Linked DNA regions of Arabidopsis thaliana. The protein of the gene in region 2 interacts with the protein of the main gene of each other region in a pairwise test. Each region holds a gene or a part of one and is shown on either strand. Other genes may lie near its edges. The genes, in order: MYBR1 and MKK4.

What was found.
Region 1: the proteins of MKK4 (region 2) and MYBR1 interact in a two-hybrid assay, tested with the Arabidopsis thaliana proteins (one study listed by BioGRID).

The regions. Positions count from the first base shown.
Region 1 is NC_003076.8:26,844,065-26,856,506, reverse strand, and holds MYBR1 (myb domain protein r1), read right to left. Parts: upstream 2,486-12,442; 5' UTR 2,399-2,485; coding exon 1,481-2,398; 3' UTR 1,195-1,480; coding exon of another isoform or gene 589-1,194; 3' UTR 501-588; downstream 1-500. Other genes in the region: CYP81G1 (cytochrome P450, family 81, subfamily G, polypeptide 1), read left to right, coding at 1-500, 589-1,194; AT5G67290 (FAD-dependent oxidoreductase family protein), read left to right, coding at 6,752-7,601, 7,718-8,088; RLK (receptor-like kinase), read left to right, coding at 11,381-12,442. UniProt on the Arabidopsis thaliana protein: Transcription factor. Represses the expression of protein phosphatases 2C in response to abscisic acid (ABA). Confers resistance to abiotic stresses dependent of ABA. In response to auxin, activates the transcription of the auxin-responsive gene IAA19.
Region 2 is NC_003070.9:19,146,589-19,163,216, reverse strand, and holds MKK4 (mitogen-activated protein kinase kinase 4), read right to left. Parts: upstream 8,895-16,628; 5' UTR 8,643-8,894; coding exon 7,542-8,642; 3' UTR 6,879-7,541; downstream 1-6,878. Other genes in the region: 4CL1 (4-coumarate:CoA ligase 1), read left to right, coding at 1,753-2,808, 3,154-3,566, 3,898-4,000, 4,097-4,210; AT1G51670 (uncharacterized protein), read right to left, coding at 4,873-4,932, 5,029-5,417, 5,988-6,075; AT1G51650 (ATP synthase epsilon chain), read right to left, coding at 9,576-9,604, 10,354-10,537; EXO70G2 (exocyst subunit exo70 family protein G2), read left to right, coding at 11,373-13,355.

The DNA.
Region 1 (12,442 bases), on a different chromosome or scaffold from region 2:
GCCGTTTCTGCGCCGTAGATATCTTGTCCACCGCTCGTCTCAGAGACTTTTCGGATATACGGAGAGACGAAGTGAGAGCTATGATTCGGAAGATCAACGTGGAACTGGTAACATCAGGAGGCAGTGTCAGATTGAAACTCCAGCCGTTTCTTTATGGGCTTACGTATAACATCCTAATGAGCATGGTCGCTGGAAAACGAGAGGAAGACGAGGAAACTAAGGAAGTTCGGAAGCTGATTAGGGAGGTGTTCGATTTCGCTGGTGTTAATTATGTCGGAGATTTTCTCCCGACTCTGAAGCTCTTTGATCTTGATGGATACAGAAAGAGAGCAAAGAAACTCGCTTCGAAATTGGACAAGTTTATGCAGAAATTAGTCGACGAGCATCGGAAAAACAGAGGAAAAGCAGAGCTTGAGAAAACGATGATCACTCGTTTGCTGTCTCTTCAAGAATCAGAACCTGAATGTTACACTGATGATATCATCAAAGGGCTCGTACAGGTACATGAGTTTTTAATTCCTATAATTTTGAATCGTTAATAGGAGTGATCAAGATTGATTCATCAAAGATTCAAAGGATTCATTGCAGGTGATGTTGCTTGCTGGAACGGACACAACCGCAGTGACGTTGGAGTGGGCTATGGCTAACCTTCTAAATCATCCGGAAGTTTTAAGGAAACTCAAAACGGAACTAAACGAGGTTTCGAAAGAAGGGCGTGTGTTTGAGGAATCAGATACTGGCAAGTGTCCCTATCTCAACAATGTGATCTCTGAGACTCTTCGTTTGTTTCCGGCGGCGCCCTTACTTGTCCCACACGCTTCATCCACTGACTGTGAAGTCGCTGGATTTGACATTCCACGTCGCACCTGGCTATTTATCAATGCGTGGGCTATTCAGAGAGACCCAAATGTATGGGATGACCCAGAAACTTTCAAACCAGAGAGGTTTGAATCAGAGACCCATCGTGGTAAGTTTCTGCCTTTCGGAATCGGTAGGAGAGCATGTCCTGGTATGGGCCTGGCCCAACTAGTACTGAGCTTAGCTTTAGGCTCATTGATCCAGTGTTTCGATTGGGAGAGAGACAATGACGTTGCCGTTGACATGTCGGAAGGAAAGGGTCTTACCATGCCCAAATCTGTGCCTTTAGTTGCCAAATGCAAGTCTTTACCAATCCTCGACAAACTTGTTCTTTAACTGGATCATTTATCTTTCACTTTGTGATACTTTGTGTATTAATTTGATCTATTATCATCATTAAGCGTAGTTATAAATAAAAATTTATTTTATTTTCCTGAATAGCTTAAGAGAAATTTGATCTTCGTCTTCGTCACTACGTCCCCAGCTCTCGAGCTTTGTTCACTCGATTTCCTCTATACATTTCCTTAAAACCCAAAATTCTTAAGCCTAATCCAAAGGAGAAAAAAACAGAGCATTTTTCTTCTTCTCCAATTTAAACAGTTTCCTAATAATCTCACTTTGTCTACTCGATTCTCCCAACTCCAATTTGACTCATCGGAATCATGCCATTATCAATGAATCCTCCGACGAATCCGCCACCATTGTTCCGTTGCATCTCCGTCATGTAACTCCTCACTTCCGCCTTAATCATCTCTTGCACCACCGCCATAAACTCGCCTCCGTTACCGGGAAAAGACTTCCCCATTTCCTCAATCGCACCTCTAAACCCACCACTAAACGGCATAAACGACACCGTATTGTTGTGGTTGTGGCGGCTCGAAGTGGTGTTGTTGATATTCGTTGACTCGTGGCTACGGTTTGACTCCTCGCTTACGTCGGCACCAGGAAGTGACAAGCTTAACGAAGTCGGTGGATCATCGGAAGAAGACGACGTTTCGATAGGAAGCGGTAGCACAACAGCACCAGGTCTAGGCACAGGCTTGAAAAGCTCAACGGAAGGTAATATCGGGATAGTACTTGAATCACTGACATCAGATCCAGTTGGGCTTCCTGGGCTCATGTAAAGCCCAGTAACAACAGGTGGAGATCCCGCACTCACCGATCTCTTAACCGGCCGATGATCCTCCGAACCATCGTAACCCCGATGGTCGTAACCGCCGCATTTCCTCTTGAGCGTCGAGTTCCAGTGATTCTTCACGGCGTTGTCCGTACGACCGTTGAGAAGACGAGCAATCGTCGCCCATTTATTACCGAACTGAGCGTGAGCACGTGCGATCGTCTCGTCTTCCTCAGCCGAAAACGGCCGATGCTCAACTTGCGGCGAAAGCTGGTTGCACCACCGTAAACGACACGATTTCCCCGATCTACCGGGAATAGATTTGCTAATCACTGTCCAGTTTCTTGGACCGTATTTAACAACAAGCCTACGAAGCTGCTCGTCTTCTTCAGGACTCCATGGACCTTTGATCCTATCAGCCATTGATTTTGGAATGTTTTATCAAACTTTAGCAATCTTCTCCTCTTTAGTGATTTTGGTTTTGAGAGATGAACCAAAAACAAGTTCGAGAAACTAAAGAGAGGACAAAATTATTTATACAGAGATTTAAGAGAGGAGGATAACCGGAAACCGGTTAAGACGGTGGAGAAGTCATGGGCAACGCTTCTTCCACGCAAGCGGTTTTTCAAAGTTTGCGGTACAGCTGTAAGTGGACACGCGTCGAAGCCTGACTACGTCGATGTGTCTTTTTTGTCGTTTTCGTAATAATTTTGTTCAAGATCAGCAATTTCGTATAGTTGAGCGTGGAGATCAGTCGAGTCTCAAAGTATGAGTTTGTGAGTACACGCGCCATTTAAGCGCGTGGCGAAAGTAAGAAGTTAAAGAGACAAAATCACGAAACCCAACTAGCAAAGCCATGATAATATTCGCACAATTTGAGGTGAATTTAAATTTTTTTATAGGGGAAATAAAAATGAAAAAGAAATATCTGAAGAAAAAAATAAAAAGATGATAACGGTTAGGTTTGGGTAAGGACAGTTTTTATTTATTTTTATGTTTAGTCTTGACTTTAGAATAGCGAAGCCAGGCTGTATAGCACTTCACATAAAAACTTTATGATAATATCTACTTTACATATAACCGATTTTCCGGGTTGAAAACTAATCAAAATTATTGACCACAAATTTCATTACTAATAAAGAAAACAAATTGTCACTAAGAAGGTATAATTAATTACTAAACAACACACAAACACCTAATTCATGCATATAACAGTGCATGACAAATTGACAATACTAAATCTATATATAGTTGCTCTATGATCATAAAAAGATCTAAACCTCAATAATTTGAAACGAAGCTGGATTAAAATGGGATTGACAAAGAACCGTGTGAGCGATATTAAGTGAATGTATAAAAATGGTTAGATATTAATGTTCGGTTTAGGAAACGTGATGTAAAATGTGCGGTTAACAAAAGATAGGAGGTTTTGACGTGGCAGAAAACGACAACATAGGTTGCCGAATTGGAACGCAAAATCATCACTGCCTTTGTTTCCTGAAATATATTTAATTATTATATCGAAAATACGAATAGAAACAGCCAGGCTGTATAAAACTTGTTAATCAAACAAAAACAATTAATAAAACACTAACTGTCATCCATTTAAGAACTGCCACGTGTCGGTCGTAAAACGCGGGTTTTTAAAAGCTCTTTGTTCTGGTATGTACGGTACGAATCAGGTCGGTAAACGTCAGGTAATGTTCATGCACGCTCCCTAACCTTCCCTCTAACGGTTCATAATTCTCCTTTTAATTAAACTATAGTATTGTTAGTTCTTAATAATTCAAGTTTTTACGTAACCCCACCAAACATTTGAATTTATACCTTTTGAGTTATATATCTACATTTTTGTCGATTTGTTGATAATCTATTAGACATCAGGAGTTTAATACTTTGAGTGAATTTGATAATTAATAATGCCAAGAGGTTATTGTGATGGGAACAATAAGCTCTAGATGTAACCTTGCGTAGTTATTATATTGGGTTTACGTGTTCGTTTGTGAGACTCAACTATACTACTATAACCTTGCTCGTTGTTTCTATTATCAATGGTCCGAGTGTCGGTTTTGGTCTCCTTGTTTTAAATATTTTATTGAAGTCGTTTTACAATTACCAACTTTTCCTTAAACCAAAAAATAGATCAATAATGGTTTTGATTGATGATATTGATGGTTGATTGACGGTGTCTTACTCACTCGAAGATTAGACAATTACCAAAACGATTTTATTCGTAGTCCACCAAAAAAACAAATCAACTGTGATCATTTTTCATATCTATTATAAATGACTACTATAGTATGACATTTTGAAAACATTTGTAACGAATAATCATCACAACATATAGTAAACTGAAAATATAACATGCAACAATCTAAAGAAAAAACCTAAAATACACAACGTACAGCCTCAATTATTGAAAATATTTTGTTTTCTGGTATGATAAATTTTGTGATTGAAACGACCACCGAGAAGTTCATATGAACATAGAAAACATTAAAGAAAACACCGTCCATATATTATTTTATTTAAGACACACCGTCCAAGATTACAACTGTATATTTTTGGACCAAAAAATCATTGCCCCTCTTGTGGAAAAGAGATAGTGGTGCAGAAAAAAAGGCACGTGGAACATGACCTAATTCGGCTAAATACAGTTTTAAAATTCAAAAACTTACGATAACCGGACAAAGATTTAACAGCTGTTTTCCAGTATGTCCACGTGTCCATGAATTATCCTTCCACGTGTAAGTTTGAGTGACGTGTCATGCTAATTATTCTTAACAAAGGCAAAACTACTCTTGTCTTGTTCCTCCTGTCGTGTAAGCTAGCAACTGTAATTTTGCTATTGGTCTACTAACGTGTTTAGATATTCTTCCACTTGCATTACCTTTTCTTTTTATTCGACATTATAGAATGTATTAATTGTTAACGGTTTAGGGAAACTACTTAATTATATGGTTTACAAACAAAAAAAAAACATAATGGTGTCAACAAAAAAAATCACAAAGGCAATAAATTAAAGAAAACAGGTGCATGTGGTTCGTTTACTTAGTTGCATAGAATAGAAAGATGCTGCTACAAAATATCCTTCCGTGTTCTCGCTTATCCTTAAGCCGTATGCACATTTTGTACCTTCACCTTCCACACGTGTGCATGTATATATCCACACGCACTACAAATCTGCATTAATGGTACGGTCATCGTTGAAACGACTACGTTCGGTGACCTTCGTGCTTAAGATAAATTTTGTTGGTCTTCTGATGTATATGCTTAAGCCACACACACCTAACACCTTCACTAAAGCTTGATTGAAAAGCGATTCTTTGTTGGACGACAAATAAAAAGTTACTCTTTTCTTCTTCTTTTTGTATGTGTGGAATCAAAACGTTTAATTTTTGTACCTACCAAGTACTATTTCATCTTATATGTTAGAACTTACCGATTTGTTGGATTTTTTAGAATTCTGATATCATATGATATTTCCAAAAAAACTTATTTAAAGATTTGCTTTATTTCGTCTTCAAATCTGAAATTTATCGTCAACTTTGTAAATCAAATGTTAAAAAATTTCAAATGTAGAATTGGGATATTAAAAACTTGATCATTTTGATAATATCTATATACTATAACTCTATAAGATAATGCATGGAATCACGTTTTACGACCAAGCATCATAAGAGTCATGAACGGGCAAAAGCGAGGGCAATATAAAGCTAGAAACAAAAGGACAGATTACTACATGAAAGTGTGTGAAGCTTTTTCCCCACATTGGCCGCCGGCTTTTTTTGACTTAATTAATATTAACAATACTCTCTACACTGTTTTTTCTGTCAATAATAGTAGTATATGATAAATATTCTTTTCAAAACAATACTTCTCATGTGGAGAAAATATCGACCACATCATCAACTTTCATGAACAATGATCAATGGATCGACCATCACACTTGCTAAATAAGAAAGGCATAAGAAGATTATGTTGCAAATTATTAATTGAAACTCTTGGATCGATAAATATTCCATCGGATTTGAACATGAAGATAATGTGTGAACGATTACATTTTAGGTTTTCACCTTTTTAGAGTGCAGTAAATGTGTGATTAAATAGAAATTTGCTTCACTAAAACCAAAAAAGTAAGTACAATTCTATAAACAGTTCATTATTTTATATATATTTTTATAGAATTGCAGAAACTTTCCGTATAGTAAACAAGTTCAATGAACACAAAGAATGAAAGAAGCTTCTGTTTAAGTAGAGGAATAAAATGATTATAAACAGAGCGAAATTATATGTAATATTATAAGAAAAAGTTTCGGCGGGTCTATCTAACTGAAAGTTAACAACATCACAGTACCTACTAAAAATATATTGAATAATAATCATTAGGAGTGTATGTGTGGTTGATGAAAGGCCGAAGTAGAGCCGCCCTATAAATGGGCTTTTGTCGTCAAAGTGGTGGAGCCCAATTTTGGAATGGCCTATCTGATTGTTAGTTGGTCATTTGTCCTTTTCCCCCATAATTTATTTCAACAAGTCCTTTTCAACTTCTTAAAACATCTAGAATCAGAAAACTATTCATTGAAATTCATACAGAGAATATCAGTTATCACTTATCAGCTACTAAATATCATAGGAAACACAGTAACACACAATAGCGTAGAGATTATACAATAAATGGGCTTCAAAAGATCAGCCCAAAAAGAAACTAAGCCCAATAAATAATTTCTAACTAACGTGTGGACTCGGTGAGTCATCATCTATCTCATCTCGGTGATGGCGGTGATCTCATCGTTATTATTCCCTCCGGTGTTAACCCGACGAACAATCACGATCTGCTCCAACTCATCGAAATCAATGGCGGCTAAAAAACAAATCGGTGAAGAAACCTCGAAGCGGGTCTTTGTATGCGGCGGTGGAGTAATCGGCGTCTGTACTGCTTATTTCCTCGCCAAGAAAGGAATCGCCGTCACTCTCGTCGAGAAATCAGCCGTCGCGTGCGCTGCTTCCGGTAAAGCCGGTGGATTTCTCGCTTTCGATTGGTGCGATGGAAGTCCTGTTGCGCATTTAGCACGCGCGAGCTTTAAACTCCATCGATCGCTCGCTGAGGAGCTAAACGGTGTCGAATCGTACGGATACAGAGCACTCACGACTCTTAGCGTCACCGTGACGGAATCAAAACCCGGTTCCGGCGGTTTGGGATTACCGGATTGGGTCAACGGCCCAGCTAAAAGCACATCAACGATTGGTACAACTCAAACAACAGCACAAGTGCATCCTCAACTTTTTACTCGGAAGCTTTTATCGACGGCGAGAGAGAAGTACGGTGTTGAGGTTGTGATCGGGAAATTAGAAGAGGTGAGAGTGGAATCAGGTAGAGTTAACTCTGTAGTGCTTGAAGGTGGGAGAGTTATAGACACTGACGTGGTGGTTCTGGCGATGGGTCCATGGTCGAGTAAATTTGAGCTGTTGTCTTCGATTTTTAGGGTTTATTGTACTAAAGCTCATAGCATTGTCTTGGAACCGAAGGAACCAAATGCTATAACACCTCATGCCCTGTTCTTAACTTATCGTCCTGCTCATGGTGGTGAAGCTTTGGACCCTGAAGTATACCCTCGTCCCACAGGTAAAATTTCGGTTCTTTCATGTGATTTTACTTTGACTTAATCTCGTTTTCTGATACAAGTAATGGAAAAAATGAGAAGTGGTTGCTTTGGTTTGTTGTTTGTTTTTTTTGGACAGGTGAAGTGTACATATGTGGAATGTCATCACAAGAAGAGGTACCTGATGATGCTGATCAGGTCACAAGCAATCCTGAATCGATCCAGGTTCTCAAGAGAGTTGCGAAAACAGTCTCGAGCTATCTAAACGAAGAAAACGCTCTAGTGAAAGCAGAGCAAGCTTGTTTCTTGCCCAGCACAGAAGATGGAGTTCCTGTGATCGGAGAGATTCCAGGAATCAAGGGATGTTATGTAGGCACAGGGCATAGTTGTTGGGGGATTCTTAATGGTCCAGCCACTGGTGCTGCTTTGGCTGAGCTTATTGTAGACGGTGTAGCCACAAGTGTTGATCTTAGCCGGTTTAGTCCTTCCCGGTTTAGCAAACGAAGATGAAGAGTATAGTAATATAGAGTGTTCGTTGAGATATCACATAAAAGCTACTCTGTTCTTTGAAGTCTAAGCAAACAGAATTGTGAACGAGGAATCTTAAAATGTGATAATGTGATACGTGATTGTATTTTGTAATCGTTGAGCATTTTAGTAGTACTGGTTAGATCTAAAGGCAAACTCTAACTCAAAATGCTAATGACGAAACACACGAAATGGTTAACGAATGGTATGTATTTCGCTGCTTTGCTATATTAAAATGTATTTCTCACCAGTTATATTAAGCTTTCTAGATCTATTTGTGGACATGATATATTACAAATTTGCAAAAAGAAAACACATAATCTTTATGCCCAACCAATGGACTGACTGACCCATAAAAGCTTATTGATTTGCGATGCCAAATGGGTTTTACAGTACTTTTTGCTTACCCATTAAGGGACGCACAAAACCAATCCAATGAGAATAATATCTTTAAGATTTTAGTATTATTATCATCATAAAAGTATCTTATCTTATTTTTAGTAACTCTCAAATTCTCTTACACGTGATTTGCTAAATTTTATTCCCTAGCTTTTTTTTTTACATACTTGAAGCTTTTCGAGCTTTTAATTTTGTGCCCAATTCCTTTATGTATCTTTCTAAAAGGTTCCATAAAAAGGAAAAAACACATTACTTTAAGGGATTTTAAAATATATCTTCAAGACCATTACACCTCTTTGAATAGCTAAATAATAAATGTTACAAAATTTATTACTCGCCAGAATGTAATAACTACGATGAATATATTCTAGTTACTTCTTCTATAGTTATCATTTTTATTTTTTTTAGTGTACTCTTTTTCTAGTTTCTACCCCTTTTAAATTGTTCGATTAGTTATTTATAAACATAGAATAAATATGATCAGTTAAAGAAGAAGAAGAAGAATAAATATCTCTTTATTTCTGTCACGTCATTAACAAAGAAAATGCCATTTTAAGCTTTTGTCTTTTGAAAAGCTCATTAAGTAATTAAATAATCATATGACCCATTTCACTTAATCATTCTAATCATATGTCGTTGTTAAAAGCCACTAGATAGTAGCTTACTACCAGAAATGGCTTCGACATGTTCACTTCAAAGAATCAAACAATCTAAATATTATTGGCATAATCAAATACTCTAGGAACTATAACAATTTTCTTGACCGTTATTTTCTCGAATAAAATCATCATATATTTGTGGAGGAAAAGAAAGAATGTATAAAGTCATAACAGATATCATATAATATATCCAAAAACACCCGACCGATCAAGTGACAATGCGCAGTGTTGTATTATTATATTATCACTGTTTGAAAAATTGTCGAACTCAGGATTGGTTTATAACTTTGCAAGACGATAATAACTTTGGAGTTTTGCATAATGGTAAGTAGAAAACGCCATTTTTCATGCATCTCCCGTCTTTGTCCACCGCCAAACTAGTAGCCATCCTCTAATTAATAATGTATTACTACAGCTTTGTATATATTCGTATTGGAGTTTACAGACTAATCACATAGTGGTTACGTTTAGGAAGATAAAACATACAGAAATGGTAAATAGCTTGTGAACCTGAATCTCGAAACTTACCTTGTCCAATTTGTAACATGAATGTCGACTATAAGTAAATTTGCTCTGACAATTTACAGTCAAACTCAACTATGAGTCTATAATATCACTGTAGTGGGTATTGTTCACACACAACGATTAATACTGTAATTAATGCTGAAACTTGGACTACACGACACTCATATGTTTTATTGTTTCACACACAGCAGAAGAAATAATTGGATTTTTTTTCGGTCCAGTGATTGCACTGGTTTGCAGAAAAATTCTTAAACGATAAATAAACCATGTTCATCTCATGATTACTTAATCGTTTGAGAAACCGTGACATATGGTGGTAACAAACAAAAACAAACAAATACCAACCGGTAAAACATATATACAGTATTTTATACATAAACAATTTTGTGATTTTGGCAATCAAATAACAAGGACCACAATGACGCTCGCGAAATTTAATTAAAACGGGGACCAATTTTAATCAATTTGACCCGGTGTACATTAATCTTGACATGCATTTATTTACGTGTGATGTTGACCTCTTGGTAGATACAGTACTACATTTATATATTTTTGATGCAACACATAACTGTTTAGTGTTTTTGATATTTCCTTTTTTTATCAGTCTAACTCTCGTGAGTCGTGAGTCGTGAGTTGTGAGTCGTGATCCATTGGGATTATTACTACGTAGTACATGTTAAACTACATATATAAGGATTCCATAAATATGAATCAAATCGAATTCTTCTTATATAACTAAGACATTAAATGTCTACTTGCACTTCATTAAAAAGAATCTTCTGATTTTATTTTTGGTATATGCAAAATTATAACTGCATTTAAAACAGAGATTAGATCATGAAACGAATATTATTTCTGAAAAAGTAGGTATATCTAGTAATGTTAATTTATTTTTTGCTAAGGATATCTAGTAATATTTTATATGAAACACTTGTTTTTATTTATGTGTTTTGCGCATAAAGTCAATATTATAACGAATCACTAGATTAGTTTTATTTTTATCTTATAGATTAGTTTAATAAGCCTATATCTATAAGATGTACTATGATCAGAGAAACATTAGGTGTAATGAGAAAACAATAATAAAACGGTCATATATAAGTAAATCCAAGTCAGTGAGAGACCTGCAAAAATTTCGAACTTTTTGTGAATGTCTTATAGCAAAGATACTATTCTCCCATCTGATCATGTTTCCATAGATATTAGTTAATTGGCTAATAATACAATTCTTCACACACATCACATGATCGATATGCGTAATCTCACGTCACAATTTCCGTCATAATCAAAAGGAGTAACAGAATTAGTATATTATATAGTTTCTGTGATCTAGCAAAGATTTAAATGTAAACAAAACTATCCAGATTTATATGGTTTTGTTACGTTTCTTTGAAGATCAATGTAAACAATGATGAACCAATATTAGGGTCCACGTTGAATATAAACGTGAAAAACGACAAAGCGACGTCAGCATAATTTACGAATAGGAAAACAGTGTTAACTTTTGTTATCACATTCCGTGCAATTTACATAGGATATAGAATTTTTTATTTACAAAAGTTATATTTATAAAGAATTACTCAAATCAAGAATTCCATAAAAAGATAAACACTTTCATATATCGTTCACAATCACATGGCCTTTTCAAAAAATCAATCTTTTAGTTCTCTATCGATGCGTAGGCTTGAAGCATGATGACGACAGTCGCCGCCGATCTCCACCGTTATCTTTTCCTGATTACCGTTTTTCTTTTCTTCCTCTGCGACAAAACCTCTCTTGCTCTGACCACAGACGGTGTTCTTCTTCTCTCTTTCCGTTACTCAATCGTTGACGATCCTCTTTACGTTTTTCGGAGCTGGAGATTCGACGACGAGACTCCTTGCTCTTGGCGTGGTGTCACGTGCGATGCATCTTCCCGGCACGTGACTGTTCTGTCACTTCCAAGCTCGAACCTTACCGGCACACTACCTTCAAATTTGGGTTCACTCAATTCACTTCAAAGACTTGATCTTTCCAACAATTCCATCAATGGGTCTTTCCCGGTTTCGCTTCTCAACGCGACGGAGCTTCGATTTCTTGATCTGTCCGATAATCACATCTCCGGTGCACTACCGGCGAGTTTTGGCGCGCTTTCGAACCTCCAAGTGTTGAATCTCTCCGATAATTCCTTCGTCGGCGAATTACCGAACACATTAGGATGGAACCGGAACTTAACGGAGATTTCACTTCAGAAAAACTATTTATCCGGCGGGATTCCGGGAGGTTTTAAGTCGACGGAGTATCTTGATCTCTCGTCAAATTTGATCAAAGGCTCGTTGCCGTCACATTTCAGAGGGAATCGTCTACGCTATTTCAACGCTTCGTACAACAGAATCTCCGGCGAGATTCCGTCAGGTTTCGCCGACGAAATCCCGGAAGACGCCACCGTTGATCTCTCATTCAACCAACTTACAGGTCAAATCCCGGGTTTTCGGGTTCTCGATAACCAAGAATCCAACTCTTTCTCCGGTAACCCGGGTCTCTGCGGATCCGACCATGCAAAACACCCTTGTCGTGACGGTGAAGCAACCTCTCCACCTCCATCGCCGACTCCAAATTCTCCTCCTGCATTAGCTGCTATACCAAATACTATTGGCTTAACCAATCACCCAATTAGCTCCAAAACCGGTCCGAAATCAAAATGGGATCATAAACCGGTGCTTATCATTGGCATTGTTGTCGGTGACTTAGCCGGTTTAGCAATCCTCGGGATT
Region 2 (16,628 bases):
ATATTGACGAAGCAGTTTTGTATTCACTTATATTTTGACATCGCTTTCACAAAAATAAATAGCTATATATGATTATTATCCATTAATTGTCTCTTTTCTTTTGCTGACACAATTGGTTGTAAATGCAATGCCAATATCCATAGCATTTGTGTGGTGAATCTTTTTCTAAGCCTAATAGTAAATAAATCTCAATACAAGAACCCATTTACGAACAAATCAAACCAAGTTGTGATGGGTTAGTACTTAGTAGCCCGTTTGAAATGTAGAATTTTTGATGAGATTTTACGTTTTATATAGATTTTTCTCAGAAAACAAAAAATTCTTGCATCTTGCATTTTGGTCATTTGTAAATATTTTTTTAGTCTTAAAAAAGACCCAAATTCTTATTAATTTCAAAATTTTCGGTCTCTAATACCTCCGGTTTTAAAAAAAAACATATCAGTTGAAGGATGAGTTTGGTGAAGGCTATATTGTCCATTGATTTTGGAGATATATGTATTATGGTCATGATTATTACGATTTTTATATAAAAGAATATTAAAAATGGTGGGGTTGGTGAAGAAATGAAGATTTATCGTCAAATATTTCAATTTTTACTTGGACTATTGCTTCGGTTATATCGTCAACATGGGCCCACTCTTCCACCAAAGCCCAATCAATATATCTCTCGCTATCTTCACCAACCCACTCTTCTTCTCTTACCAAACCCATTTCCTTTATTTCCAACCCTACCCCTTTATTTCTCAAGCTTTACACTTTTAGCCCATAACTTTCTTTTTATCCAAATGGATTTGACTGGTCTCCAAAGTTGAATTAAATGGTTGTAGAAATAAAATAAAATTATACGGGTTCAATTGTTCAATTGTTCATATACCGTTGACGTTCAATTGTTCATATACGGGTTCCGTGGTCGTTGGTAATATATATGTCTTTTATGGAACCAAAATAGACCAAATCAACAACAAATGAAGAAATTGTTAGAGTATGATACACTCATATATACCCAAATATAGCATATATTTATAATATAACTTTTGGCTATGTCATTTTACATGATTTTTTTGGCTTATCTATTAAAAGTATCATACAAACTGTTTTTACTTCTTTTTTTTCTTAGAATATATATGCCCAAAATGGAAAAGAACATATGCCAAGGTTGATTTTATCGCTTATATGGTAAAAATTGGAAAAACATACAAATCATTACTTTATTTAATTAAATCATGTGAAGAAACATATTCAATTACGGTAATACGTTATCAAAACATTTTTTTTTACATTAATTGTTACATTTTTTTTTTTTGCAAATATTCTTAAATAACCATTCTTTTTTTATTTACTATAATTAACATAAAAATAAATAAAATATAACATTTCAACAAAGAAATTTGCTTATGAAAAATACAAAATCCAGTTAATTTTTCAGAAAAATACAAATTTGCTTATAAATATATTACCACTAGTTTATGTGATTTTAAAAGAAAGAAATGCAGCTTACCAAACGCAACGTGAAAATTTGAGAAACCCATACTCAAAAAAGATTAAATGACAAAATCACCCTCAGCAAAATCATGAAACAACAACACTAACATTTTCACCAACCCCACCGTCTACTCCGGTGAATTGTCTATATGAACTCCTCCGATACAACTCCTGTTTCCTTCAGGCCAAAGCCTAAAATTCACACAACCAAAAAAACCAACCTTTTTTTTCCACCTAAATCTTTGAATATCACAATATTTACTATTTACAATGGCGCCACAAGAACAAGCAGTTTCTCAGGTGATGGAGAAACAGAGCAACAACAACAACAGTGACGTCATTTTCCGATCAAAGTTACCGGATATTTACATCCCGAACCACCTATCTCTCCACGACTACATCTTCCAAAACATCTCCGAATTCGCCACTAAGCCTTGCCTAATCAACGGACCAACCGGCCACGTGTACACTTACTCCGACGTCCACGTCATCTCCCGCCAAATCGCCGCCAATTTTCACAAACTCGGCGTTAACCAAAACGACGTCGTCATGCTCCTCCTCCCAAACTGTCCCGAATTCGTCCTCTCTTTCCTCGCCGCCTCCTTCCGCGGCGCAACCGCCACCGCCGCAAACCCTTTCTTCACTCCGGCGGAGATAGCTAAACAAGCCAAAGCCTCCAACACCAAACTCATAATCACCGAAGCTCGTTACGTCGACAAAATCAAACCACTTCAAAACGACGACGGAGTAGTCATCGTCTGCATCGACGACAACGAATCCGTGCCAATCCCTGAAGGCTGCCTCCGCTTCACCGAGTTGACTCAGTCGACAACCGAGGCATCAGAAGTCATCGACTCGGTGGAGATTTCACCGGACGACGTGGTGGCACTACCTTACTCCTCTGGCACGACGGGATTACCAAAAGGAGTGATGCTGACTCACAAGGGACTAGTCACGAGCGTTGCTCAGCAAGTCGACGGCGAGAACCCGAATCTTTATTTCCACAGCGATGACGTCATACTCTGTGTTTTGCCCATGTTTCATATCTACGCTTTGAACTCGATCATGTTGTGTGGTCTTAGAGTTGGTGCGGCGATTCTGATAATGCCGAAGTTTGAGATCAATCTGCTATTGGAGCTGATCCAGAGGTGTAAAGTGACGGTGGCTCCGATGGTTCCGCCGATTGTGTTGGCCATTGCGAAGTCTTCGGAGACGGAGAAGTATGATTTGAGCTCGATAAGAGTGGTGAAATCTGGTGCTGCTCCTCTTGGTAAAGAACTTGAAGATGCCGTTAATGCCAAGTTTCCTAATGCCAAACTCGGTCAGGTATATTTTTTTTGGGAAATACGGAATCATACGAATTTGGAAAATCGAAATAACTATACGGAATGAAATCTCATAATTAACTGAAAAACATAACATAAGTAAATACCTATATACAGTTTGTATTTTGATCAAATAAAGTAAAACCAAATTATTCAACTGTGTGCGATTTTTTTATATTTTCTGCATAATCACATTTTTGGCTACTCAGATGACATATTTTTATTTATTTCTTATAGTAAAAAAAAATATAAATGTTATACAAAATTTGACCAAAAACGTTTTTAAGAAATTTGCCACTTCAGTTTTAAATTTTACGTAACTAACTTTAATTTATTAAATGATTAGGGATACGGAATGACGGAAGCAGGTCCAGTGCTAGCAATGTCGTTAGGTTTTGCAAAGGAACCTTTTCCGGTTAAGTCAGGAGCTTGTGGTACTGTTGTAAGAAATGCTGAGATGAAAATAGTTGATCCAGACACCGGAGATTCTCTTTCGAGGAATCAACCCGGTGAGATTTGTATTCGTGGTCACCAGATCATGAAAGGTTACCTCAACAATCCGGCAGCTACAGCAGAGACCATTGATAAAGACGGTTGGCTTCATACTGGAGATATTGGATTGATCGATGACGATGACGAGCTTTTCATCGTTGATCGATTGAAAGAACTTATCAAGTATAAAGGTTTTCAGGTAGCTCCGGCTGAGCTAGAGGCTTTGCTCATCGGTCATCCTGACATTACTGATGTTGCTGTTGTCGCGTAAGTTCAAATTTTTAACCGTTGTTCGTTTTGCAGTCGCTAATTGAATTGCGCCAAAATATGTTGTTGAACCAACAACTACAAAACGGACATTGTTTGATCATGACCAAATAATGTTGTTGGTTCAACAATATATTTAGGCTAATCTATGTTCTGAGTACTAATCTATTATTAAAGTATGTTGTTGAACCAACATGAATGATTAAAACATAATTTAAGCATAATGACAAAAGGAGATCAATGATATCAATAACAGAGCCGATCTTGATTTCTCTAGCATCTCTGTTTCAAACTGCTTACACTTTTTGTTGTTACGTGTATGATTAAACAGAATGAAAGAAGAAGCAGCTGGTGAAGTTCCTGTTGCATTTGTGGTGAAATCGAAGGATTCGGAGTTATCAGAAGATGATGTGAAGCAATTCGTGTCGAAACAGGTAAAAAGTGAATTACAAAGCAAGTTCTTGATTTTGATTAATGCATGAGAAATGAATCATTATTGATGCAAACTTTGTATATATCTGAAATCACAGGTTGTGTTTTACAAGAGAATCAACAAAGTGTTCTTCACTGAATCCATTCCTAAAGCTCCATCAGGGAAGATATTGAGGAAAGATCTGAGGGCAAAACTAGCAAATGGATTGTGATGGATGATTTCAACCAAAAAGCAAAAGATGATTTCAATGTGTATATACATACAACTGTTTGACCCAACCAAGGAAACAAACTCATACGAACCATTGTCTTTTGTTGTTGTTGTTGTTGTTGTTGTTGCTGTTCTTGCTTGATTCATGTAATGAGCCTTTGTGATGAAGGTGGTTTCTTTTTTGGTTTCCTATCATGTAACTTGTGCTGGAGAAAACAGCACACCTTTTTCATATAATAATAAATTTACTCGGATTATGCAACTGAAGATTGAAACTGAAAAGTTTGATACAAGCACCATCATAAGCGAACAGTAACCCAAAGATTCAATAAGCATAACAATAATCGATCATCCCAAACAAATATGTCTTTAGAAAGTAGAGATCTCAACTTCTCAACTTATCACATAAAAAAAGTCTCCTGAAAACATGCATTCTTAAACAAAGTCTTCCACTAGTAGCATGTTGTTCTCTAGATAGATAGATATTTCTTGCTTAATCGATGGATAGGCGTGGAACACAAAAGTCCACAAGCAGCACAGATGGCCCTACGCCCGCCAAATAAAACATCCTGCTCAAAGCCACTTTGACAACTACAAACTTCTTCTTGTACCATACCTTCACTATTGCCATGGACTTTCCTTGGATCTTCTCTGTTCCAACTACTATCCCATCTCTAAGTCCAACGTAGCGCGCATACTCACCTGACGAGGCAAGTAAATTGCCTAGCACGCAAAACAAATGAACATATATTTTAGATCAGATGTATATCTCTCTGGATCATTTTATATTGAATTTTAACTAACAGCTATAGCACTTACGTCTTGTTGAAGTTCAATGTGTGGAGTGAACACATGCAGTTTTGCTCCCACGGCTGATTGATGCACCAACAACTCAGGTACTTCGTCCATATCCTTAGGCTCAATCACTTCTCCTTTCATGGAAACGAGAGCAGGTTCGTACGATGATGGGGTCTTTGACTCAGATCCCAAAGGTGGCCAATCTTCTGCTCTCGGTATGCCGCCTTTCTTTAACGCAAAGTTAAGGCAGTCCTTGACAGTGAGCTTGCGCCTGCGCCTGAGGTTGCGTGAGCCAGCTTTGTCCACCAAATACTGAGCTGAGTACTCAGTGCGGACACTATCCAGCTTAAGTGCAAGCCGTGCAGAGCTTATCAGCTCAACCGCTACGATAGCAGCAGAAGCAGATTCATCTGCATAGACAAAACACAAAATGGAACAATAAATCAAATCTGAATGTATTCCCATCTTACAAGATACGAATAGGATCAGAATCAACTGTGATATACTAACATAATCCAGGCTATAACTAAAGCAATGTGACAAAAGCAGTGGATTCAACACAACATCCTAATTCTACAGCCACAAAATTTGGCTGATTGATTGGTCAAATGACTTAAATCTCACTGTTAACATAAAAGAGAATCTCTGAAATCATGAAAAAACGTACAAAGACAACACACATGCTATCAATATCTGAGAGAATCTAAAACCTATCTTGGCAAACAAGTTATCAGAGCCAACAACAACAAAACTTAAGACATTGGTGTAATTAAGCACATGACCAGAACTGTGATAACTCAACATAATGGGTAAATTTTGTCCTGCACTAAATCCAGGCTAAAACTAAAGCAATGAATCAACACAACATCCTAATTCTACAGCCACAATTCACCATTCCTAGGGATTAGATCAAAATCTGTTTTAAAACCAAGAAGTGAGATACTTTTATGAGTAAATTCTATACAGTAACAAGTTCTTACCGTGCTCTGGGTCATTCTCAAAGACATTATCGCGTCTACCGTATGAAAAAGCCAATGTGAAATTCGGATCATAGGGAGGGAGTGCCATCTGAAAATTTGCAAAGTTTTCAATAAAACTACATTAATGGATGTGAATAATAAATGCAAAGAACATTAACAAGGGAATTAAAGTGAAGCGATTTTTCACGAAAGAAAGGAAAAGCAAGAGGGACCTTTGCTTCCTAATAGGATCGAAGTTATAGCAAAAAGAAACATTTTTATCAATGACAAAAAAACAGATCGATGAGTATGTGGCTAAATCGAAGCAATGTGACCAAACTAAATGAAGTTTAAACGCTAACAACCTAACCAAAAGCTCCTCATTGTTCACTAATCACACTGAAATAGTAAAAAGATGACATTTTTATCAATGACAAAAAACAGAGGAAGGAGTTTGTGGTTAAATCGAGCCAGTGTGATGCTTCTTTACCAAAGAATGACAAAAATAAAGAAGGATCAAACGCTAAAACGTAACTACTCACTAATCACACTGAAAAAGGAAATGCACAAGCAAGCAAAATCCGTAACAAAAAAAAAAAACCCTAAAACGTAACTAAAAGCTCCTACAAAGGCAAATGCATAAGCAAAAATTGTGACAAACCAAAGCAAGCTACAAAAATCTCAACAACTTAGAAAAAAACTCTAAAGAGTAACACTGATTGCACTTACAAAGAAAAACTCACAAGCAGAGGAAGCAACCAAAGGAACCTAAAGGATTTAGTATTTATAGACAAGAGTATGGGTGACTCGAAAAACCCTAGAGATAGGACAGATGTCACCATCCTCTGTCATCAAATCGTATCAATGGCTGCGAGAATCGCTACTTTCTCCGTACAAGCTTTCAATTCATCACCACTGCTCTGTGTTTTTGTTTCTTGTCGTTTTCCAACTTTGGAGATGACCGTTTGACCGTTGTTGTGCCTTAGACGACGTCTTTTCAACATTGGGCTTTATCTTTAGCTGGCCCAAGTTCCTCTTTTCTTCAATTAGACCCACTTTGCTAAACACAGTCGTTTTGCTCTCTCGGATTGAGGAATTGTCTTAAACTCTTCCAAGGATGTTCTAAACTGGGACATCAACCTGATTAGGTTTGAGAAACGATTCTACGATCCGTATATTTTGCTTTTTCATGATGGTAATAAGCTTTACAAGGAGACATTTTATCAATGACAAAACTAAACACCGAGAATGGAAACGAAACGGTCCTTTTCGTCTTCAAGATGCAAAATTGACGAGCATAAATGACAAAAGAAAAACCAAGGCAAAAACTTTTATGAAAATTCAACAAAGCTACATTGGGGATACATGCACCATCATAAGCATAAGAATATTATCATTGTTCTCTTTTACCTTTCTAGAAAACAATAATCCCAAAAACCCTCTCTCGAGTTTTTTACTCCCTAATAAATGTAAAATTCAGAGACCCTCCATGATTAGCAAAAAATTGGACAACAGACTCAAGAACAGTAGTAACACAAAAAATATGAGTTGATGAAGGGAAGAAGAGAGAAAACGCTATGTGGTTGGAGAAGAAGACGAGGACAGAGGACGAGGAGGAGGCAAGAGTTGATGTAGATTCTGAGGAGACCTGTTCTGGCTCGGACTTGCTCTTAATATGAAAGGATGCTGCAATAGCTGCATAGCACTCCTCCTTTTCCCCGGTTCTCTCTGCAAGCAACACGAGATAAAATGCCGAAACTCCGGCGACGCAGTCGCTGGAGCTTCTGGAGGCTGAGACATACAAATGGCACACATAAGACTAGCCCAATCACCTTGTCTACTCACAGGGAAAGGAAACCTCCCCAAGTAAAACTCCAAAATGCTAACACCTAAGCTCCAAATATCTCCAGCATAACCATCATACTTTCCCTGATTCAAATCAGTGTTAATCCTCTCAGGACTCATATAAGCAATGGTTCCAACAGATGAATTACACGGATCCATAGTCTGAGCCAAGATCCTACTAACTCCAAAATCAGCAATCTTAACGTTTTTAGCAGAGTTTATCAAAAGATTCGATGGTTTGATATCACGATGAACTATGTGACGGCTATGGAGATAAGCTAAACCACTAAGAATCTGACGAGATAGATCAGCTAATTGTTGCTCTTTCCACACATGAGCACCTTCTAAAGAACCTTTATCCATAAACTCAAGCAAAACCTGGATCTCACCGTTCTGATCAAACATCTCGTGACATTTCACAACGTTTGGATGATTCACATCTCGTAAAATCTCGATCTCTCTACAGATCTGACGTCTCACAGTCTCCTCGTGGTTACCGTATATCACCTTAAGTGCATATAGACGAGAACTCGGACGGTGAATCACTTTGTATACCGTTCCACCTGCTCCGCTTCCGATACGGTTACCTCTCACTAAATCCGAATAGTTCTTCGCTTCTATGGAGCTGTTAGTGTTCGTTGAAGACGCCGAACCACCAGAAGACGGCGCAGATCCACTAGAGCCACCGGAACCACCGGAAGTAGGTGGGAGAGGAAGAGGTACAGCGAGAGAAACATCGCGTTGAGGAAGCGGTAAGGTAAGATCAGGACGGCGACGGGGACGGCTTTTCACCGGAACGGAAACTCCTGGAGGCGATTGAATCGGTCTCATCGCTTTTGGAATCAAAAGTTCGATTTTCTTCTACGATCTGAAAATTTAAAAGCTCGATTGAAGATTGAAGTAATGATCTTCGTCGTTTATAGTAGTAGTCTTCTTCGACTTCTTCGTCGTCGTGCGTTGTCGTATTCTAGGGTTTGTTTGTGGCAGGCTTAAATTGATTCGTTCTTCGAAGCGATCAAAATCAAAAGAAATTGAGAAATGAAGTTTCGTCGAAAGAAATTGAAAGGACACTGAAAAGGGAACGTTAATTTTTATTTTGAGAAAATTAATTAAAAGGAAATAAATAGCAAAATTGTTAAAATCGAGAAAAAGGTATCTACGCGATGTGTAAAGCGCGTGAGGATCACTTTCAAGCACGGAAACCATTTGTGACTTTGTGTGGTTGGTTCACTGGGCACTTCTGGCTCTGTTAAGTTTTTTTCAGACTTTACGCGGTGTCGTTTTGTTGGTTTTGTGATATAAACCAAGAAGAGGAAATCGAATTTAAATCAAACAAACGCGTAAAAGTGACATTGGAGATGGTCTAACCTGCAAATATGCGTACTGCGATTCAAAATACATGATTCAGAAAATCAGTTTGTATATTCTCATGTTTAATATTAAGTATGGTCTTCTCTCAACTTCTGACAGTGTATTGATTCTCCACGTATGTGCTTAGTTTTATGCTATTCTCACTGTTCTGTAACAATCAAAAGAACTTGTCTTTAGCCAGAAGAGTCTTTAAAGGCTTTTTTTCATTGTTCGCATACAAAAAGTGAAACAGAATAGCAAAAGAAGAAAAGAGATACACAAGACTCAGTGTGTCATTATTATGATCGGAAATGAGTTTTTCACTCAAGCTCCATTGTTGACAATAAAAAGAAAACAAATCTTGGTAACTCAGTTACTTTTGAATCCCTTAAGAACATAAGCTCAAAGTTGACTTCAAACTTCAGGTGTGTCTGACCGCAAAACTGTCAAGGAAAAACAAAAACATGAGAGAATGTTAGACAAATGGATCAACAAGAAGAAAGCTGAACCATTTTCAGATAGACTAAATCTGGAATCATTGTCTCAGTAAACCCTATTTGAGAAATGAAATCATTCCAAATTCAACAATTTGAACATAACAACAACTTATGAGAAAACAAAATAGAATGAAATTAATCAAATCCAGAAGCAGAAGAGAGACAGATTAAGCGCAAAATCGATGGAGCTTGTTAAAATGATTCATCTTCCTCTTAAATTCAATAGCTTTCCCAAAATGACCTACTCTGATATCTACGTATTCCAACAATTTCAATGACACACAACAAGAACATGAAGAATTCAGATCCAAACATAAACGAGAAAAGACATCTAAATGCAATGTTCCCAATCAGCTTTCCATCTTCTTCATGTTCTTGTTTCACACATACTACTAGTTTTGTTGTTTTCTCTGAAGCTAACTCTAAATGAAAAATTCAACAATTTGGACATAACAACATTGTATGAAGATAGTATTGAACTGATCAAATCCAGAAGCAGAGGAAAGGTTAAATGCAAAATCGAAGATCAAATCCAGAAGCAGATGATTCACTTTCCACTTAATTCCGATAACTTTTAGGAAATCAGATTATTCCAACAAATTACTCAAAAACAAATCAGGAATCGAGAACACAAGAACGTGAAGAATCCAGATCTAAGATCCAACATCGACGATTAAAGGATCGAAAAGGCTTACCAGGTTTCTGGGGCTTTCCATCAGCCCATTTGGAGAGAGAGAAGTGAACCTTCTCGCGAGTAAGAGCTTCAGCTTTGTGTGGCTCCTTGAGACAGTTCCTCACGATATTCGCACAGATGTTTGAATACGATATATATGTCATCCCCGCCGCTCTCCAGAACGGAACCGCCGCATTCGATGCCATCTCCGATCTTCTTCCTTGTCTTCCTTCTTCGTCCGTTCCGATTCTAAGGAGAAAGTTCGCGAAATGGGACAGAGACCGATTCTGTGCCCTAGTAATCCTAACACAGTTTAGACCCAATGGGCCTTATTAAATATTTTAACGGCCCATTAAGTAGCTAACTACACGAATCTTCTATCCAACTTTCATCTACTGAAATCTCTCAACTTTTTTTTTTTTTTTGGTTTCTTGTCTTTTTTATTTGTTTTTATGATTGTTTCTTGGAGTTTACGCGAAGACTGAGCCAAACCAAGCTTTGCTATTTTAATACCTTGATTAGGCAATTAGAAATTTAAGCGAAGTTACATAAAAATAGGAAAACAAACAAACTTATTTCCAGGAGTCTCCACGAAATTTACTCAAAACTTATTCTCATTTTCAGGTAGATTGAATTTCGTGTATATGTCTGCATAATTTCGTGTAAATGTCTGCTTTTCTTTGTTTTGTTTCGTTTTGTAGTTTTTCAAAAGTTAATATTAAATGTGCAACAGAGAGAAGACACCAATCTCATTGACTTGTCAGAAACAAAGAAGAGAGAAACAGTTTAGTTTCAGATAAAGATGGTTGAGCTGACTAACAAATAAAACAAGACTTTGGGTTTTGCTTTAAGTTAATGATTATATGTGATCTTGTTTTGGTTTATAGAAGTCTTTAGAAGAAGAACACTGGTAATTACTTATTTTGGTGGGTTTGGTAAGAAATTTGGTTTATCTTCCGAGGATAAAGGATTGTTATCAAATCCATATATAGTTGTTGAAGCAACAATCATATCCTCCTCCACTGAGTAAGCAGCAAAACAATGGCTGAATCAAAGAGACTTGAGAGGCTTAAAGCAATGAGAAGTTTATTGAAGAGTGAGATGGAGAAATCTGAAACCTTTTCATTGGTTCTTAACAAGACTGGATCCAAGATTGAAGAGATCAACCATAAGTTGTCGTCTTTAGAAGCTGATCTTAAAGTTGAGAGATGGAAGGCTTCTCCTTTCTCTGATCATATCCGTCACACCATTGCTCCAATATCCGCTGTCCTGAGAGTCTTTGCTACGGTTCAAGAGCTTGAGAGATCTCTCGTGTCCTCTGATGGAGTCCTTGGTTATGTTTCGGATGTTAAACGTCTTGGAGAAGCGATGAAGCTTCTCTCCAGTAGCTGTGTTCTTGCTCTTAACTGGCTAGAAGATACGATCGAGTACCTAACCGAAAAGGGAATGCCTGAAGATCATCCTTGCGGTTTGCGGTTCAAGACTTCCATAGAGCTTCTCCGGGAATTGCAAATGACCGAGTCTCGTGCTTATCTCAAAGGAGGTATTCTTTACACAGCGCTGAAGAATCTTGAAACAGAATTCAAGCGGATTCTCCAAGAGAAGCCGGTTTTCTCAGAAGACAACTTGAGAAAGTTGCAGGCTATCATCAAGAGATTACATGCTCACACGCGGTTAACAAGCTGCGTACCAGTTTACATCAAAGTCCGCACCAAGGTCATTCAGAAACGGTTTGAGATTAGTTATCTGGAGAAAACAATCACAGAAGCTGATAATGTACATGATATTGAAGGCGATATAGATCAATGGAGATTGCATATGGAGATAGCTGTGAAAGAGATATACGAGTTTGAGAGTAAGCTCTGCTATGACGTATTTGAAGATATTGGAGAAGATGTTCCCTTGCGTTGCTTTGGAGAAATAGCTTCAAATTCAGTGATCCTTCAGCTTCTCAGATTTGGATCAAGAATCAGCAAATGCAAGAGAGAGCCACCAAAGCTGATCAAGCTCTTAGATTGTTTCTCTACAATGGACAACTTTCGGATAGAGTTTAACAGGCTATTTCGAGGGGAACAATGTTCAGAGATACGCAGAGTTACACGGGAGCTAATCAGCAATCTCGTTAAGGGTGTCTCCGAGATCTTCTGGGAGTTACCTTGTCAGGTAGAGCTACAGAGACCAAATTGCCCACCTCTTGATGGAGGTGTCCCAAAGCTTGTAAGCGTTGTGACTGAGTACTGCAACAAGCTACTGGGGAACAACAACAAGCCAATCTTGTCGAAGGTCCTAGAAATTGATTTGGGATGGAAGAACGCAAAGTATCAAGAAGAGCTTCTCACAGGTCACATCTACAACATACTGAGAGAGATTGCTTTGAACTTGGACGCATGGTCAAGTTCCAACAAAGAAACCGCTCTTTCTTGCATCTTTATGATGAACAATCACTCCCATTTCTGCGGCTTGAGAGAGACTTATCTCGGGGAAATGATGGGAGAGTCTTGGTTAAACGCACACGAGCAGTACAGAGACTATTACGCTGCACTTTATGTCAAAGAAAGCTGGGGACATCTCTTGTCTCTACTCACAAACAAAGCTCAAACCACTTCATCATCATCATCATCATCATCAGAATCATCTCCTGTGAAAGGAAAACGAGCCCGTGAGTCCATTAAGCGAACATTACAAGCGTTTTGTAAAGGATTTGATGAGATATACACAAAGCAATCAAATTGGGTTGTTGAGGATGACAAGTTGGTATGGAAGATATGTCAAGCAATGGTGAAAACAGTTGTGCCAAGATACAAGAGTTACCTACAAAGCTACATAAAGCTTCTAGTAGAAGAAGATCCTACGAGTGATAGTAAGCATTTATATTATACTCCAAAGGGTTTAGAGATGAAGCTGAAGACAATGTTTCAGAAGAAAGAAGAAACAGAGAAGAGAGACAAAGATTCTCACTTTGTGAACAAAGTGATGGATTTGGAGATTACTCAGAATTCTCGCTCGACATTAGAAGCTATATGATAATACTTAGACAAGATCACGAAACTAGACACTCGTTTCTTAGTGAAGCTTAGCCTAACATAGAGAGGTGTGAATTGTATAAAATTGGTTGTTGTAATGAAATTGAATCCAAAAGATTATAGGAAACTACGTACTCAAGTAATTTGTAACTTCGAGATTGGTCAAACCAAAATTAAAGTTTCCAACTTTGCAACTTTACAAGAAAAAAATTGAGACTTTAAACTTGAAGAGCGAACCTTCTTGAGAAGCAAGAACGAAGAAGTTGAACGCCGTCGTAGGTCAATGTTAAATAGAGTTCTTACGGCAGGGGAGACTTAAAAATCAACGGCGGTCAACGACGGGTCCGACGGAAGAATTGTACCAATTAGACCGGAAATTAAATCTGTAAACGTTACCGATGATGATGATTCATTCGATTCTGGCATCAAAAGCAGAAGGGCTTTATATGGGCCTGGGCATATTATCTATTCATATAGTGGGCTCGAAAGAAAAAGATTTGTTTTAAACTCATTGATATATAATTGTGTGCCCATCAAATGAGAATATAGTTTGATCTCTTTGAGTTAGATTTATTGAAAAATTACACGAGTTCAAGAAGAGTTCGATTTAATCTCCTTAGTTTTAAAGACCTTGAAGCTCGATTTAGATTTGATGATAGCTTGGTAAAATTTGCCTCATCATATACTACTTTGATGCTACTAGTTACATTTTCTTGTAGAGAGAGAGATTGATAATTCCAAAATCTTACTAATGAAAAGTATTATTTAGAGCAAAAATAATAAGATTATAATTCTTTTTTTTAATAAATAAATTAACATAATAACTTTCTTAACCATTTTTGTAGTTTTCATTTTATTTTCTTTAATGTTATACTAATATATTTATTTTTATCTACAACATGAATTATGTGACTTTGGATATATATATATATATATATATATAAATAATTTTTGTTAACTAGAATGATAGACTGATAGTATATTACCACAAACTACGAAACTATATGTCTCATGATCTAAAATCTAACTTTTGATTTCTTCACCCGAAAAAAAACGAATTTGAGAAAGGTTAATGCTTGGTAAGTCTAACAAATACATAAAACCAGATTCATACTTTACTACTTTAGTCAGTTTCATGTCATCTTTTTCGGAGATAATCCCGGAAAGATATCAAAATATGTCTATGATGATTATGTCAGCAATTTGACCAAGAAATCTAATTGCTAAAGTGTTGCCAAATCTACTCTATTATTTGAGACGTACGTTAAGTGATTTTCCGTTAAAATTATTTTTACTTTTAAATCATATGTTTAAAATGTTAATGTCATGAAAAAGATTACCTTTTACTGAGAATCACTTAAGTTACGTTATAATCTTGGCCATTCGTTTGAATTGTTTTTACCGCCCGATCTCTCGCTTTCACTTAAAAGTACGCGGATCCTTATGACCCGGGTTTACAATTATTGGGTCATACGTTATAATCTTGGCCATTCGATTGAATTAATTGTAACCATTGATTTTTTTTCAATAAATCCTACAGCAAAAATTTTGGAGAAAGAATTTTTATTTATTTCTAATTAATATATTCCCTTATTCAATACTATTCATAATTACGTGTGTTTAAAATTGGAAAACTAATTATACTCATATATCAACAATATTTATTATATTCTAAAATATTACTAATCCAATTATTTTTTTAAAAATATTTTCTAATCAAAGCTGCTTTATTTATAGATATAACATTATAAATATCGAATTAATATGTTTGAATTCGAAATTGGGTTAAATATTCTAAATTTATTTAAATAACTGGAAAAATAATTTTAACTAAATTATTTTTTATGTTTGATAATTAAAATAGAAAAATATGTTTAAACATTTAAAAATAAGATTAATTACATTTTTGGTTTATATTAATTTTTGTTAATTATATTAATTTAATTCCCTTTTCAGCAATTGAATCATATTAATTTAAAATATTCAATGCGTATATTCCTTTCTTAAATTTGAATATCGCTTCTCCATAATTATAGGTAATCAAATATTTAGTTGGATATTCATTTTTGAATTAACATAAAGTTTCCGAACAATTTCCATAATTAAATAACTACTTATAAGATAATTGCTAAACATTCTCCTATAATTATGAGATTCATCATAATCATTAAACTTGAGTTCCACAATTTATTTTATGCATACTTTTTCCCCAAAAATTTATATCTTATAAATACTGTCTCATTTCAAAAACTCACTCAGCAGTTCCTATTTACTTTTACTCTCTCGCCTCTTTTTTTATTCTAGCAGAAGAAAACGAGACCATGAAGAAAACTGAAGTTGTGGATCAACGAGTCCATGGAAAAAGCAATATATCGAGGTGTCCTCTCACATTCTCTGTTTTTCTCTATTTTTCATGTTTTTCTCACATCTGTTTTTTAAAATATTTATGCAGGTAATATGGGAGATTAAAATGTATACGCACACATGATTTTGTTAAAGTATGTCTTGCTTTATAATTATTTATCTTTTATGCAAGTAAGAAGTTAAGCTTTTTTTACCTCTCTATATATTTATAAGATGAGTAATTCTGATTGAATTTTTTGATAGGGATTACAGTCTTTTTCCTGTTAATTTGCAGAAACACGATGATGATTTATAATTTGACTACTATCTTCCAATGAACAACAAAATTATAAGGTATGTAATATTTTTTCTTAAATCTGATCGATATATTCTCTTTCACTAATATATTGAGATTGTGTAAATATTTTTGACTGTAGTTTAGATTTCAAGAACTCACTCAACAGTTCCTATTTTCTTTTACTCTCTCGCCTCTTTTTTTATTCTAGCAGAAGAAAACGAGACCATGAAGAAAACTGAGGTTGTGGATCGACGAGTCTATGGAGAAAGCAATATATCGAGGTGTCCTCTCACACTCTCTGTTTTTCTCTATTTTTCATGTTTTTCTCACATCTGTTTTTTAAAATATTTATGCAGGTAATGTGGGAGATTAAAATGTATACGCACGCATGATTTTGTTAAAGTATGTCTTGCTTTCTAATTATTTATCTTTTATGCAAAGTAATAAGTTAAGCTTTTTTACCTCTCTATATATTTATAAGATGAATAATTCTGATTGAATTTTTTGATAGGGATTACGGTCTCTTTCCTGTTAATTTGCAGAAACACGATGATGATTTATAATTTGACTACTATCTTCCAATAAACAACAAAATTATAAGGTATGCAATATTTTTTCTTAAATCTGATCGAT